Linked DNA regions of Lepisosteus oculatus. The protein of the gene in region 1 purifies or fractionates together with the protein of each later gene. This does not show direct contact. Links are inferred from orthologs where the notes say so. Each region holds a gene or a part of one and is shown in the gene's direction. Other genes may lie near its edges.

Region 1 (7,716 bases):
ACTCACTATTTTGCTCTCATAAAAGTTCCTGCAGTCCAACAAAATCGTGTCATTGCAAGATTCATATTTAGATAAAAAAGCTTCAACTTCCTTGTGAAACTCCTTTGGTTCTAAGTGGGTTCCTGCACAAAAATGAACACAGATTCAGAATAAAAAAAAAAATTTTACTCCCATTTTACATCCATAAATAGATACACTGCATTCACAAAGGATAAATAGATTTAGAAAAAAGGCTGTATGTTATATACATGTGTATATAATTGTATGTTGGTACAATTAACACAAAGCTTAAATAGCAATGAAACTTTTAAAGATGATCTTTGGCGTCTAGATCTAGAGATATTTGTTTAAACCAAATTTAAACCAAAATTCTAATGTATCTGCGAACAAGACTAGACAGCAAAAACATTTTTTTCTTTTTATATTTAAGGAGACAATAAATCTTGTCACCTTATAATAGCTGTATTTTAATATACTTACCGGCAAGCCTATAAGAGAGTATGTCTGGGTCCACCCCCATGGGGACTATTTCTTTAAACACTCCCACCTTCAGGTCCGGGAAGCAGTGAGCCCCACCCTCACTGGTCTGTCAAGGCACACAGTGTAACCTGGCACATGAGTGGTGAAATACTTGCTGACAAAAAACATCTAGGGCTCTTAACTTTGCAGGTAAAGAGGTCTTAAGGTCCATTGGTGCAAACAAGATGACACCCTTTGCCATAACAAATGGGTCTGATGGTGCAAATAAAGGCCCTTGTGCTTAAGAGGTCTCCAAATTCAATCATTTCAAAGCTTACCGCATAAGAATTAAGACAACCCAAATGCAAAAACCTTTGAAGAGCATATAACAGTTGAACATTTTTCATTTATGTACATTTCCGTTCTTGCTAAAATGCATGGTGAATATAAAAACATAGTTTTAAAAATAAATAATTGTTTCAGCTATTAAACCATGGGATGGATGAGAGCAGATGCTTACATCTCTGTAATAGCGATAAATAGTGAAAATGGATAATCAACATTTCGTGTAGTGTCAATTAAATTATATTTTACTCAATAATATTGATTTAAAATGTCATATATCCTGAGATGTTAAAAAAAACCTGCACAGAACACTGAGAAAACAGTGAATGCCTTTTTAGTCTAAATTAAACCCATTTGAGAGTGTGACTTGGCCTTACACCAGTTAAGTAATTCATCAATTAATTCACCACATGGAAACGTGTCCAGTTTCATATAAAAAGAACTGTGATTACAACCTTATCCCAGTTCTTTATCACCCTAAGATATGTTTTCACTCAATAAGCACATCATTAGAGGAGAAGTAGAAAACAAATTGATATCTTCTTACCTTGAAATCATCCAGGCACATGATTTTGAACACTGGGTGGGAAAGCATTGCCTTAATATATAATCCGGTAGCCACTTTGCTGCCTCCTACTGTTCCATTAATTCCTTCTGTGGCAACTCGAATCTACAGACAAATATAGACGTATGGACTTTGTATGAAAACAAACAGCAATGGCTTTGGGGTGTCAAAGGAGATGACTGAACGAGTGGGACCTGATCTAGTTATCTTGCAGTGAGGGCGCTCGGGATTTTTTCCTAATTACATCACAGAAGTGAATGAAATTTTTTGTGTCGCTTAACAGCCTTGAATGGTAGAAATAAAGGCACTTACAAGTTTAGAACTGGTAGGAAAAGGCACAGGACCAACATACACATACATATAGAGAACAACAAACACTACAGTACAGACTGAAGACAGTACTGAGTGAATTCAAGACCTGATCTCTTGGTATCTTCCTACCTTTGAACTATATCACCTTTGAACTGTGATATATTTTTATAGTGCTTACCCACCTGAACTATCTTCCTACCTTGCCTTTTAGGTGCAATTTTTGGCACAGTGCCTTCTGCCAAGCACAGATTAGGTGGGGTCCCTCCACTTCGCAATAGCAGTAATACAGCAGCACTTCACCTGGTCCCCTGGCCAGAAATAGGGGACAGAACCATGAAAATTCAATATATTCACAAACCAGAGTGACATTTTCACACTGTTTCATTATAACTGCAACAATCCAGACTCACCACCATGCAATAGTGTACGTCTTTCATGTTTTGTAAAACAAATTGGGCTTTTGAACTGTGATATATTTTTATAGTGCTTAAGAACAGAACCAAACATCTTTACCCATCAAGCTCTGCCTCGTTTAAGTAACTGATGTCCGGAAGCCAGAGCTGCATGTCCATTACTTCCACTGCCGCAGGTTGGGCTGACGTGTTGCACTCTTTCACATTGCCTCTGCTCCCCAGGAGCGTCAGTATGGCCTTTGTGTGTTCCTGAATCTCCAAATCATGTGCCCTGGCAACGTGCTTGTGGATGGAAGCAGGATCCTTGAAGGTTTGGTCGCAACACTGCCAGTGCTTGTCTGACTGAGCAGAACGCGAATCTGAACCAGATGCTGAAACTTTCTTCGAGTCCACAAAAGTGGCAAATGCCTTCAAAGAAAAATCACTCAAGTCACCCGTGTTGCATTTACTCGGATACGTCCTCACAGTGAGCATTCAAGCCTGCTCTTTACCACCATTTGCTTTGCTCAATGGAAAATATAATAATAATTACTACTTATGCGTGAGCTTAACAGTCTGTCAGTATGTTACTACATAACATGTTAAAACGTACAGTAAAACCACTTCAATTCAAATGAATTTTGTGTCCAAATCACTATATTCTCTCAACTTGCCATAAAAAACCTACGTCGCTGTGCATACAGTGAGCCAGTGTAGTCACAGAGGGGCGGTACATGAGGTCACTCGATCTCAGCAGCTCCAGAAAGGGCTTCAGTAAACTCTGTCATTATAGTTCTGTGACACTCCCTTGGTCATGGTAAAAAATGTTCTATCAATTCTTTGTGATTAAGTTTGCTAGTACAAGTGATCATGGAAATTACTGGATCCTTATTACCATTTTCTTAAATCAAGAAAACAAATTCTTCAATACTCAAGGGTTTAATATTCAAATATAAAATGATAATCTATTATGAAATGAATTTGTACAGCGACCTGTGTAGCTTTAAAGATGGAAGCTGCACATTGGTGGTGGTAGAGGAGAGTCCCCATTACCTGTAAAGAACTTGAGTGGAGTGTCCAGAAATGTTTTATATAAAATGTAAGAAATTATGAATTATTATGATAAAGATAAAAACAAAAAAGATCTCCCTTCCACACTAAGCAGTAAACCTGAAACCCACCATAAGTGAACATCTTACCCTTTTCTTTGCGTATGGAAACATTTTACGTAAGCTAGCTTCATTTGGGGCTTTTGAGATATTTGGAGTTTTGTTGGTAAAGTTCTCATCATCGAGCTCAGAAAACAACAGAGTGCCAGGTTCATCTTCAAGAATACCAGAGGCTGAAGACATTTTTGATGTTCAAATGGTCTCTTCAGCCTCCTGTAAGAGACAAGAGGAAGGTGAACAGAATTGCTGTTAGAACAGAAATAAAGATATTGCTTTGCCATGTAATAAGCCAAACCAGTCTATGTTAGAAAGGATTACATAAATCTGTGGATTTAATTAACATTCATTAAAAACAGATCACAATTTTAAAGAACTTAAGAAAACACAACCACAAAAAACACAACATCTAAAACATTATAAACAATAAAGCAATAACTTCGAATCTATAAAAAAGTAGTATTTTATTTAGCGCATAATTGTTGTTTCAGTTAATATAAACTGCGGGTAATTATCTGCACTGATTCTGGTTACAATATAATTCTTAATGCTAAGGGTTCCTTCTAAAAACAGCTTCTAAAAAGACATCCAAGATGACTTTCATGAAAGATAAAGGGCAATGGAACTGCAGCCTAAAAGTGAAACTGAATACCAAGAGAAAAGAATAAACAAATGTAAACCAGTAATTTATCCATTTATCCTGAAAGAACGGCACAAGGTAGGACTGAGAACACATCACAGGACCAGGTGTACAACACAGAAATTTCCAACAATTTACGTTTCCTCAACGTGTAAAAACGTTGCGTATAAATATAAATTATGAAACTTCGATTTTCAGTGTGCTTAACTTACTTTTCACGTTAACACATTGCAGAGCATCGTGTTTACTGAGGGGGTATCGTTTATTTTTATGTCTAACTTTGCACGTGTGAAGCACATATAATCAGAGACGGCAAAAAACCCAGAATCAGCTGTTTTATAATACCCTAATTATTCCGGGTCTTTTAGCCCAGAGTTCTCCATATAGTCTGTTCGTAGTACTTGATTCACATTAGATTAAGACAATATTTTTTCTGCCACCATACCACAAAACTACACATCTGTGTGTACACCATGCAACTACTCTCACTAATACAACTAAAATCTCGTAATCATCGTTTTACATCCTCTTTCACGTCTCGTCAGTTTTTAAAAAGGTAACCGAACAGAAAGAAATTGCAAAAGTTATAAAAACTCGTCACACCTTACAGCGTCAGCTCCTACGGAGGACAAATGGCATTACACGCCACTTTACTTGAACCAGGGAAGTGTTTCCTGTGACAGGCCGCCTGTCCTCCGGATGAGATTGTGTTCAACTTCAGCGCCATATTGCGGCGTTTGAGGCTGTGTGTGTGTGTAAGGAGCTGTTGTTTCTAGAGGCGTGTGGAGCGTTTTAACCTAGGCGGATTTCGCGCTGCAAGTACAAGATCAAGACGTTTGAATAAGGGGACCGACTGAACTCTGTTACATCTTTAGAGGATTTACCTTTATAATTAAATTAAAAAATGTCAAGGAGGCGGCACAGTGATGAGAATGATGGTAGGTGGTTTTTGTATTAGTTTTGCAATTGAGGCACTGTCCACTTTTGATACATGGCTGTCCACTATCGATCGATGTGCTGTGAAATTTTGTTGACGTCTCACCAAAGAAAGTGATGCAAAGCAGTTTTTAATTGAGAAAATCGTTATCGGTTATGATATGGCCGGTAATAAAATAAGCCTCGCTATTTTAGTAGGAAGTGAAAAAATAAGCAGAATGCCCATTTTTCCCATTTGGAGCGGTTAAATCGAACTTTGTAAAAGTTAATTGCTGTCTTTCTGATAATGTAATAATAAACTTATGAATTATTCATTTATAGTCGTGTGGAAATAGGTGCATAGAGATCAAAGCTACCGCTCATTCATTTAGGGTGCTTGAATACTTTCTATGGCAGATGTAATGTTTGATTCAAATGTTGCACTTCTGAGCGGGCTTTTTTCTTCCTGCAATACATTAGCTACTCCAAATAGCCCACAAATTACAGTTATCTGTATAGCATATGTATGAACATAAATACGGAAAACATTTGATAATGCAGAGTAGATTGAATGTTGCACATAGACTGTAGGCTACAGCTTTGTTTTCCTTGTGTGTCTAGTAACCAGGGACCGTAAGTAACTTTAAATTAACATGAGTTTTAAAATAATATATTTTTGAGAAGAATACATAAAGTTGTATGATGATTTAAACCACCTTTAATTGTTCTATTACATTTTCTTTTCCTTGTAATTTAAAAATAATTGCCTTGAGTAACATTTTGGCTCATTAAGTTTTTTCCCCCCCTTAGGTTAGCATTGCAATTAGAGCTTAAGTAATCTAACTGGGTCTTCTTGATATAATACAAAATTCTTCAGTTCAGATTTCTCTTGAGATTCTTTCTCCAAGGCAATCTATGTTCTCCTCGCTTTCTTTGAGCATATGCAACTTAGAATGTTGATAAGCATAATGTTTCATATAGTGCTCTTTCTAATAGGAGGGCAACCTCATAAACGGAGAAGAACATCAGAACCCATTGAAATCGAAGATCGTCTTGAGTCACTAATATGCAGAGTAGGCGAAAAGGTAATTTTTACACTTTTTTACAATTGAAATAACACTTTTAATTAATTAAGCTGGTAGTCGTACCATTTACTAATCACAAACTGGGCTTGTTTTTATCTGATAATTTACTTTCTTAAAACATGTTAACCTTTCTTTTCAAAATACTGCCTGCTCACAAGTTGAATGTCGTGGTATTTAAGAATATGGATTTACTGCATTTCCAAGCTTTTGTGAAGCGCTTCCTTACAGCATTGTGTGCATATTGCAGTGTTGTGTATATAACGTTTAGTGGAAACCTGAACTCGATGATCTAGTTAAAGTGTTCTCTGATATATTAGCACACCTAGCCTGTATGTTGCAAAGTGGCAGGTTTTTCAGCAAATCTAACATGGGATTGGATTTGTATCATAACTGTGCTTGAATGTGCCCATCCTTAGAGTACGTCTTCATTGGAAAGCAACTTAGAGGGCCTGGCAGGCGTCCTGGAGGCTGACCTTCCAAATTACAAGAGCAAAATTCTGCGTATCCTATGTGCTGTGTAAGTGTTGCCCTTTGTGTTTTAATTTAAACTTCCATACCTGTGTTTGTGTACTTAAAACATCTCACTGGACACTTTAGATATGCATATACAATATAACTTTGATATTCACAAGGTTTTGCAAAGTACTACATTCACAATTTGGCAGATAAACTAGTCACTAATAAATATCTGCATTTGTGTGGATGAACTTTATTACAGTAAAGTAGTGCTGTATTTATAATAGTAATAAAAACTGTAAAAAAAGGGAAGAAGATACGCTTTATTAAGAATGACAGAAACACTAATGCAGATTAGTTCAGGTGGGTAGCTGCGTCAGCATGTGTAGGCTGCAAAGGAACAAGTAATAGGTTTATTCCATGCTGAAAGAAGAAGAAAGAGAACACAACGTTTCGGCCGTGGAGCCTTCTTTGGGTGTGAGCCTTCTTCACACCTGAAGAAGGCTCCACGGCCAAAACGTTGTGTTTTCTTTCTTCTCTTTTCAGTGTGGAATAAACCTATTACTAATACAGAGTAAGCTGTAATGGTGATCTAATTTATTTGTTTACATTTGCAACAACTTGAAAACAATTTAGTTTACAGTTCATTTTCATTAAATACTTTTTACCGGTAGGTGCTGGCACTATTTCTGAAATTCTTAAGTTAAAAAAAAAACATTACTACAGAAATCCTCTTTTGACACGCTTCGCTGTCCTGTTTTCTCCATTAGGTGTTGCATTCCACATTCGCAAAATCATCATTCTTAGAGTCTTCAGTGTACCTAATGCTCATAAATACTGAGGTTTTGTTGTATGCTATACATATGTTAACAAAAATTTGTTAGATGGCTGAATTGCCTCCTTTCCTTCCTAATCTATCCTTATGTTCAAAGGATAATGGACTTGGATATCAAGGGGTAGATTTTCTTGACAGGCACGTATAACTTTATTGAGAAAGTTGATAGTTATTTTTATTCAGCTAGATTTCATAGCACTACATTTAGGTTTGATAAAGCAACCAGTGAAACGCTAACCCCAAAAACTCATAGGAAAAAATAATAAGTTTAGGGCATAAGATTAGATTGGCTAAATCCTGGAAATGTCTTTCTCAAAAACACTCAGAATCAAGTATGATCAATTTGCATTTTGTTGCAATTTGACAAGCTTTCATGTATGTCTCTGTGTAGGTGTTCTATGTTTAATGCTATGTATTGAGCCTGTTGTTTTATTATTAGGGCTCTGTAAAATACACTTATTAAAAAATATCGATAATATAGTAATAAAAACAAAAAATGGCAGAAACTCAAAACTGTCCATGGTAAAAAAAAGTGTTAATACAACG
Region 2 (7,403 bases), on another chromosome or scaffold:
CCTCGCAGTCTTAGTGAACCTTTTTCTCTCCATTTGCGACGAGTTTGTCCGTTTGTGTCTACGTGGGATTCGTGTAGCAGTCGAGGAGGAGAGAAAAATAACCTCAGCAAAGATGTTTCGTATGATCTGATAGCTAAATTTCCTCCAGTAAATTTGATTTCAGTTTCACTTTCTGACATTAAGAACATCAACAGATCGAAGATATTCGGAAAATCGGAGAACAGTGACTGTATTTGGCGTCAAGAAATAATCTACCTTCTAACCACGAGAGGGAGCGCTAGACCTTCCGACGGTTTCCGGCCGCGGACCGATCGAAAACAAAAAATATCCTGAATTTGGGTGCTGTGGTACAGTTACTGTACGTGAACGCCGCTAAATAATTAGGCTAGCCTTTTTAGTTTAGGGCTTTCTTTTAGAGGCCGCTTTGAAGTTCGTGACTGCAATGTGAATACATTAGCTTCTCTTCAACAGTAACTCAACAGAACATGTTGTTGGAATGGAGCGGAAGTTAAACTTGGTCCTTAGTTTTAATTCAGCAGACGATTTTCTTTAATCAGATAATAATTATTCATCTGTTTGTAAAACATGAAACTACCAATATATCTTAACTACTGTACGTTGTTGCAATTTGTTGTAGTTTTATTTGACCTCCTTAATTTTATTTCCTCTATGTGCTTGAAATCTGGCATTTTCCAATGGCAACTAGCTCATCCCATGTGAGGAATGTTTTTTTTTCCACAGCAATGGGATTCATTTAATTTTTTATTTTAACTTAATAGCAGAACGTCCTAAAGGTGGTTTATTATTAGCACATAACACCTACTGAATGCAATCAAGTACTGAAAAGGAAAAGACTTAAATCTACGTGTCCCTGGGGACCAATGGAGGCAGAGTTGTTCACTGCTGAACAGACTGAAATAGCCCTTATACAGTACTTCTGTAACATGAGAGTGTTGTTTTATAAGTTGACGGAGATTTAAGTGCAGCTGCAGAGAGAAAACATTCGATGTTGGTTCTGTGGGGAGGATGGGCAACGTCGGGCTGGTTGAAAATGAGGCAGAGCAAGCAGTCCGCTGCCCTGTTATCAGACAGAGGCCATATGTATTCAGAGCTCCAAAACCATCCAAACCTCATCGGGCATGGCGGTCTTCTTAACGGTACGGGGGCTGCATGGGTTGTGTTGATCACGTCGAGCGCAGGATGCTCCCAAGAGAAGGAGAAATCTCAAGAGAGGGGGAAAAACTACGGCTGGGACATGCAAAGTCAGCCTCCCTCAGGTCCTGGACACGCACTGATCTGGCTCATGCCAGGAAGGTCAGGCTGCTCTTCTCTCCCTGCTTCCCTGCTTCCCAGTGCTGTCCAATGTTCTGAAGCCGCCTGTCACATTGATTCAGTTCCCTTCTTGCACTGCGCACGAGGAGTGGTGAGGGGGGATTTTGCCAGTAAGTAAGCAATTGTCTTTTTTCCTGCTAGCTGCCGGAAACACGAGCTGGGGGGGGATTGTAAGGTTCTCAAAAGATTAACTGCCTTCCCTGCTGAGACTGCCTTTTTTTTTTTTTGCTCCTTTTCGTACGAGAGAAAATAAACATTGCGTGGCACTTCAGCTACAGCTGTTTTCAGGTTTCATTGCTGGCAGGGCCAGGGTCGTACACCTCTGTTATCGATCGCGTTTCTCTTCTCCCCCAAACGGTTAGTCACTTAGCAGCATTATGAATGGGACCGGATTTGTTTTTGCATTGATCTGCCAACCAATCCAACAGCCAATCAATCCAGAGAGACGTTGCCTGGAAATGGCAGGAATGATTAAGATCAGGTTAGGCATGCTGCTCTTTGTCAGATCGCGGAAAGGACTGGGAAAACCTTAAGAAAAATAAATGGCGACAAAAATTGCTGGCGTATTGCTGTTCTGGCCTATCTAGGGGTGTTTGTGATTGGATTGCTATAAATCCATCCAAGCCACTATCCTCTGTCCCTTATTGACTCCTGTGAGTCAGTGACATTTTAAAAATCCTGCATGGTAGGCGTTTCTGATCTAGAAAGCAAGGATTTTAAAGCCTGGAGGGGTCTGTGGAAGAAGAATCAGATTTGTATTCGAATTTTCAGATTCAAAGAGCTTTATTGGCATAACAGATTGATTACAATGTTAGGAAAGCAGCTATTATACCATCGTTTACAGTCATTGACAATACAAACATATCATTGCACATTTACTTACATCCCCTAAACATTATTGTGAGACTGGATCACCCTCTGCCCCTCCGGCTGGGGCAGGAGATCGCGAACTGGCCCGTTAGCTCTGTTGGATTTCCTGCCCTTTGCCCCCAGAAGATCGGAAGCTGATCGGATTCAGGCAGGTGTGGGAATTCTGGGATCATCGCATAATAGTGTGAGACAAGAAGAGCGCTTTTAAATGAGAGAATTGATCGGGGCCCCATATCAGTGTATTGATTATTTACTGGTGTTCAGGGGTGGGAGGGCTTGAATTTGACAGGCTGTTATTCGTGGACGCAGGGCTGTTATCTGTTCTGGCCAGTGTGCTTGCCGGAAAGGGAGGGCTGCCCCTTTACATCGATTGCATAGGGAAAGCTGTTATGTTGTGTGAAATTGTGCAATGTAAGCAGACAACAGCACTCTTTAGCACTTCCTCCTGGCTTTTTTATTCCGATCTGCAGTGACCTGGACCTAAGCCATGCTTCCACACATTACCTGATGGCCACTTCATCATGTAAGACATGGTCATGACAATGTAATGCTATAATGACAGGTAAGCCTGGTCAGATCAGATTCACAGTGTGAGGGCATGGGCATACACATTGCTACTTTTCATACTTTTGTAGGGGGGTCAAACATTTCCCTTTGTTTCTGGCAATTTGTGTGAATCGGAATGACCACAATCATTAAATGTTGCTCAAACATTTTAAAAGCAGAGAAACATTTATTCAGACCTGTGTACAAGGAAATTCTTTACCGATCACCAACGATGGGCTTATATTTTTCTTATTGTTTAAGTAAAGAGAAACTCCCATTTGTCCTTTGTTAGCTTTTAGTGAAAGCTTGGTCAGCAAAAAATATACATGTGGGTTGTGACTGTTAGTACAAGGAAGGATCTACAGTTAAAGTACCTGTGACTGAAGAGTGCCCAGTTTCTTTCAACAGGCTGTTAAAGTCCTTTAGAGGTAGCTCTGATTAGACACCTAGGGAGACGTTCTCCTGAGCTGTAATATCTGAATCCTCGTTCATTGAAAGTGTAGGTCTTTTCTGAGCACGCGCTGCATTGTTTCCAAGCATCTCTATGTGACAAAGGTCAGGCAAAGGTCACTTCCTCTTTCTATAGGCAAAGAAGGACCATGAGTTGTCATGGAAACTGTTCTAAGCCTGCCATTTGTACAAAAGTGTATTAGTCCTATTTATCTCCCACAGGCAGAAAGAAGCCAGAAAGAATCTGTATGTTATATTAAATTTAAAATATTTTAACCCTTTAAAAATATAAGTAAAACAAACAAATGTAGAAAGAATTTCAGTGGTAGCATAATGCACATTTTAGTATCAAACTTCAATCTAAGTTTTGTTAGTGGATTTAAATGCTTTTAACACATGACTTAAAAAAAAAACCTTCGACAATGTGAACGCTTGGTCCATTGACAAAATAATGCAGGTTAACAGATTGTCTCATCTGGTTCTGGATGTCTGTCGGAATTGTCTTTGTGACTTTGTGACAAGCAATAGCTTGATTGAATGCTTAATAAAGATGCCTAGACAGTATCCCTGTATGCAATGTACGCCAAAAAATATATAATTATATATATTATTATATATAATATAATTAAGCCTCTTCCATTTCTTTCCCCCCTCCAACTTGAAAAAAAAAAACTAATTTTCGGTCAGCGTCGGTGATTGAAAAGAAAGAACCTTTTTTGCAGGGCGAGGAAGCCCAGTGTTTTCCCTACAGTAATATATTTGAAACAGCGTAATATTCTTTAATAAGAAAAACAGATTTGGGCAGACGGCTACCATCGGGCATGTATCCCCCGCGACATCGCGGGCTCTTTGGTTCACGACCAGCAGCTGTGACACAGGTACAGCGGGGCTGACAGAAACGCCACTGCTAGCTCACCAGTGGTTTCGGATTTGCGGAAAGCTTACAACTTTCCTGGTGAAAATGTGACTCACGCCTGACTAACACAGCCCTGCGGGTTTCCCTAACAATCGTCTCCTTATGCCTCAACAGGTGAGTTGCAGCTCAGCCGACGACCGCAAGCCCTCTCCGAGGTGACGCATCGCCAGCATCTTAAATTTTCCTCCAAAGCAGATGCGGCTTAATTGTCCTTGATTGTCTGAGGGGCTGGCGGTTCTACCTTTGGCACAATGGGGGGTGAAGACGCCATCTGCAAACTCACACTTTGAGGTTTTACATTAATTAGTCATTAAAAGCGGAGGCGTACAGCGGCAGCACGGGGTTAACGAATATCTCGGTGTATTATTGTAACATCAAATTTAAATCTGCCTGTCGTCTAGCTCGCCTTCTGCAGGTATAAAAGACGGCAGCGAGAGACACGAGATCAAGAGAGGGAAGAAGACGGTTCTTCGGACTGGGGGGGAGCGACCGAATTACTTACTGGATTAGCTCTGTAATATTGGACAAGCAATTGCGTTTCCCTTTATATTGGTTTTACATATATTGAAAAACATTCTATTTTCTGTTTTCCCCGCAATGAAAACATCTGAAACTGTAGATTGCGTTTGTCACTGTGGAATAACCTGATCTTTGCGGTCCAGTCCCTTAAGAATCTTCATTTTGAGGCTCTGGTCTAGGTCTCCCGATATATTTTATCTTGCAGCTATGGGCCTGTGCTTTGGTGAGTACGTGCATCGCATATCTGTCTAATCAATCATCTATCTAGCTTAACTGGACTGCCAAGTTAGCTACAGGATGGATGCTAACTACGACAACAGAGAGTGGTTTTCTCATTACTCCTCTCGGCTAGCTGTCTAAAAGAAGCGCACAGGCACACAAAGGTGGATCGTTTAATCTATGTTGGCGTTTTTTTTTTTTGGTTACAGGTTCGCATTCTCGGGGTTTAATGACTCCTGCCCAGGTGTGGCGCTACTACACCGGCTCAGGTCAGTTTCTTAAAGCCGCGTTTCTTTTATCGTGCGAAACACGCACGCGATCAGCGAGGATCTCGAGCGGCGCGTCACCACGACAGCACGCTCGCGTGCGCTGGGAGTCAAAATGCCTTCGCGTGCCACGGCTAGGAGCACCAACATGCGGACGTGTGTTTCTAGGGATACGAGAATTATTCACATGCCCTCTCAACAGTCATGAAAAAAAAAACATCTTTCCCAACTTTGATCCACCTTGCATAGCATACTGTACTTAGGCAATTTAACTTTTTTTACACAAAACAGCCCTAAGTAAAATATTTATTCGATTGCGAAAACCAAAAGACCAAAAGCAATTCTGAGTGAAGAGTTAGACGTTTTGATCAGCTTTCGAAGTCATACAAATTAGGATGATTTGGCCTTCTGGGAACGAAAGCGTAATTTTAAGTGTTTCATTTAGAAAGCTTCCTATTAAAGTATTGTCTGCAAGGCTGAATCACGAAGAGGAGAACAATTGATAGCGCCGCTCGTTTTCCTTCGCGCAACAGATATGGATTATGGCACTCAAGAGAGTTTGAAGAAAAGTTAGAAATATGTGTAAATATCGAAAACGTAATTCCGTGCCGCTCAAATTGCTGGAGACGTATGTGTGATGATTCTGTTGGCTTGAGATGAGGCGGTTTAGGAAGACGAAATTTGCTCACAGGGCTGTCTGCTCTTCTACTTTCGCCTACTTAACATTGTACTTACAATGGCTATAGTAAATACGTACATTTTTTACAAAACGAAATGTGCTAAACTAATAATTTCCCAAGACACGACAGAATTAATTAGATTTTGCTTGATAGGCTATTTCTATATTTTTAGATTCGTTTTGTCTAACTTACGTTTTTGCACATATACATTAAATTTGAAATACCTAAAATGTATTCAAAATAGCTGACGTTTTACTAATATTTAACTCTTTAACGATTCGATTTTACAGCGCGTTTCGGTATAATTTTATTTATAAAATATAATACAAAGGATATTTTATATTTTCCATAGTATCGATCATTTTAAAGTAATGTAAAAAAAATCTTACTTTGGGGCTACGTGGTGATTGTCATTCGTTACTGATGTGTGTGTGAAGTGCCTGAATGCTCTTTTTCGGATGTTTGGATTTTTCAATAAATCAATGTATTGATTTCTTCACTGCACTGTTGTAAACATTTGACCATGAACATTTCTTCTGCTGTTTATCGTGCAATCATTATTTCGTATTTTTGATAGATTTGTCTGTAAACGACAACATCAAATAGTTTATTTCGTTTTGGACATAAAACTAGTTTGGATATTGATTTGTGTTTCCTTTTCCCCTTAATTACCATCTAGACCCGAATTAAAAAAGGATCGCATGTCAAAATCAATTGATACGAAGAAGAACATTTTGGCAAACAAATTATTATTCGTGCCAGGTTTTGATTTATTGGCGGCTCCTTCTGAAACCGCATATTTTACGTGGGGCTAAAAACAATGAATTCAATTTCTTGGGTTGTGATATATTAACTAACGCTTTTATTGTCCCTCATTTTCCAGTTTAAAGCAAAGTTGCATCCTATTTCATTTTTTGTCAACCACAAATATAATATTTTTCATACGATGCGGTAGTCCATTAATGACTTATCAGTTAACTTGTGGTTCTTTCATATCATTGGATATTCACTCAAAATGTTGTCAAATTTAAAAACGTGAGAACTGTGTCCCAATAGAAAAAGCAGTTTTGAGTGAAGAGTACCCCTTTTTGTAATGTAATGTTACGCCATTGACTGGTTTTAAAATGGCAGTGGTAACTGCTACAGCGTATATTGCTGCAGATTTGAGATATAGCTAGTTGCATGATAATTAAAGCCGATAATTAATTTAGAACATGTATGTTCTAAAGTAGCCGATGAAAAATAAACGTAACAACCACTGCAGCAGCCAGACGCGATGGAGGTAATCTTCCGTATTTAATATAATGGTGGAGCACACTGCGGTGGCTGTTTTGCAATAACCTGATGGTTACAGAAAATCAAAGGAAGGATATATTGATTTCCTAGTGGCAAGGCTTAATACTAATCCATAATACTTCAGTACATGGGGTACTTTTGTTTAAAATGTTAAGTTCGGAACGGTCCCCTTTTTTTTATTCAGATACATCAGATTTGGTCAAATAAAAACCACTATTAATCCGCTTTTTCCCGTGAAATCAGACGATTTTTTCCCACTATGTTCGATTCTCAAAGCTCCTATGTCATATCGGTAAAATATGTACATGA

What was found. The genes of interacting proteins can lie anywhere in the genome.
Region 2: the proteins of nuclear cap-binding protein subunit 1 (region 1) and protein lin-28 homolog A purify together in Homo sapiens (affinity purification with mass spectrometry; 3 studies listed by BioGRID and IntAct, with this or other methods). This does not show direct contact. The link is inferred for Lepisosteus oculatus from reciprocal best matches to the Homo sapiens genes NCBP1 and LIN28A.

Annotation. Positions count from the first base shown.
Region 1 is NC_090696.1:29,818,944-29,826,659, forward strand, and holds the start of nuclear cap-binding protein subunit 1, read left to right. Parts: upstream 1-4,606; 5' UTR 4,607-4,783; coding exon 4,784-4,817; intron 4,818-5,790; coding exon 5,791-5,879; intron 5,880-6,295; coding exon 6,296-6,396; intron 6,397-7,716. Other genes in the region: thiosulfate sulfurtransferase/rhodanese-like domain-containing protein 2, read right to left, coding at 7-122, 481-586, 1,352-1,474, 1,881-1,989, 2,195-2,502, 3,273-3,425. UniProt on the Homo sapiens protein: Component of the cap-binding complex (CBC), which binds cotranscriptionally to the 5'-cap of pre-mRNAs and is involved in various processes such as pre-mRNA splicing, translation regulation, nonsense-mediated mRNA decay, RNA-mediated gene silencing (RNAi) by microRNAs (miRNAs) and mRNA export.
Region 2 is NC_090706.1:5,681,564-5,688,966, forward strand, and holds the start of protein lin-28 homolog A, read left to right. Parts: upstream 1-4,354; 5' UTR 4,355-4,840; coding exon 4,841-4,856; intron 4,857-5,061; coding exon 5,062-5,121; intron 5,122-7,403. UniProt on the Homo sapiens protein: RNA-binding protein that inhibits processing of pre-let-7 miRNAs and regulates translation of mRNAs that control developmental timing, pluripotency and metabolism.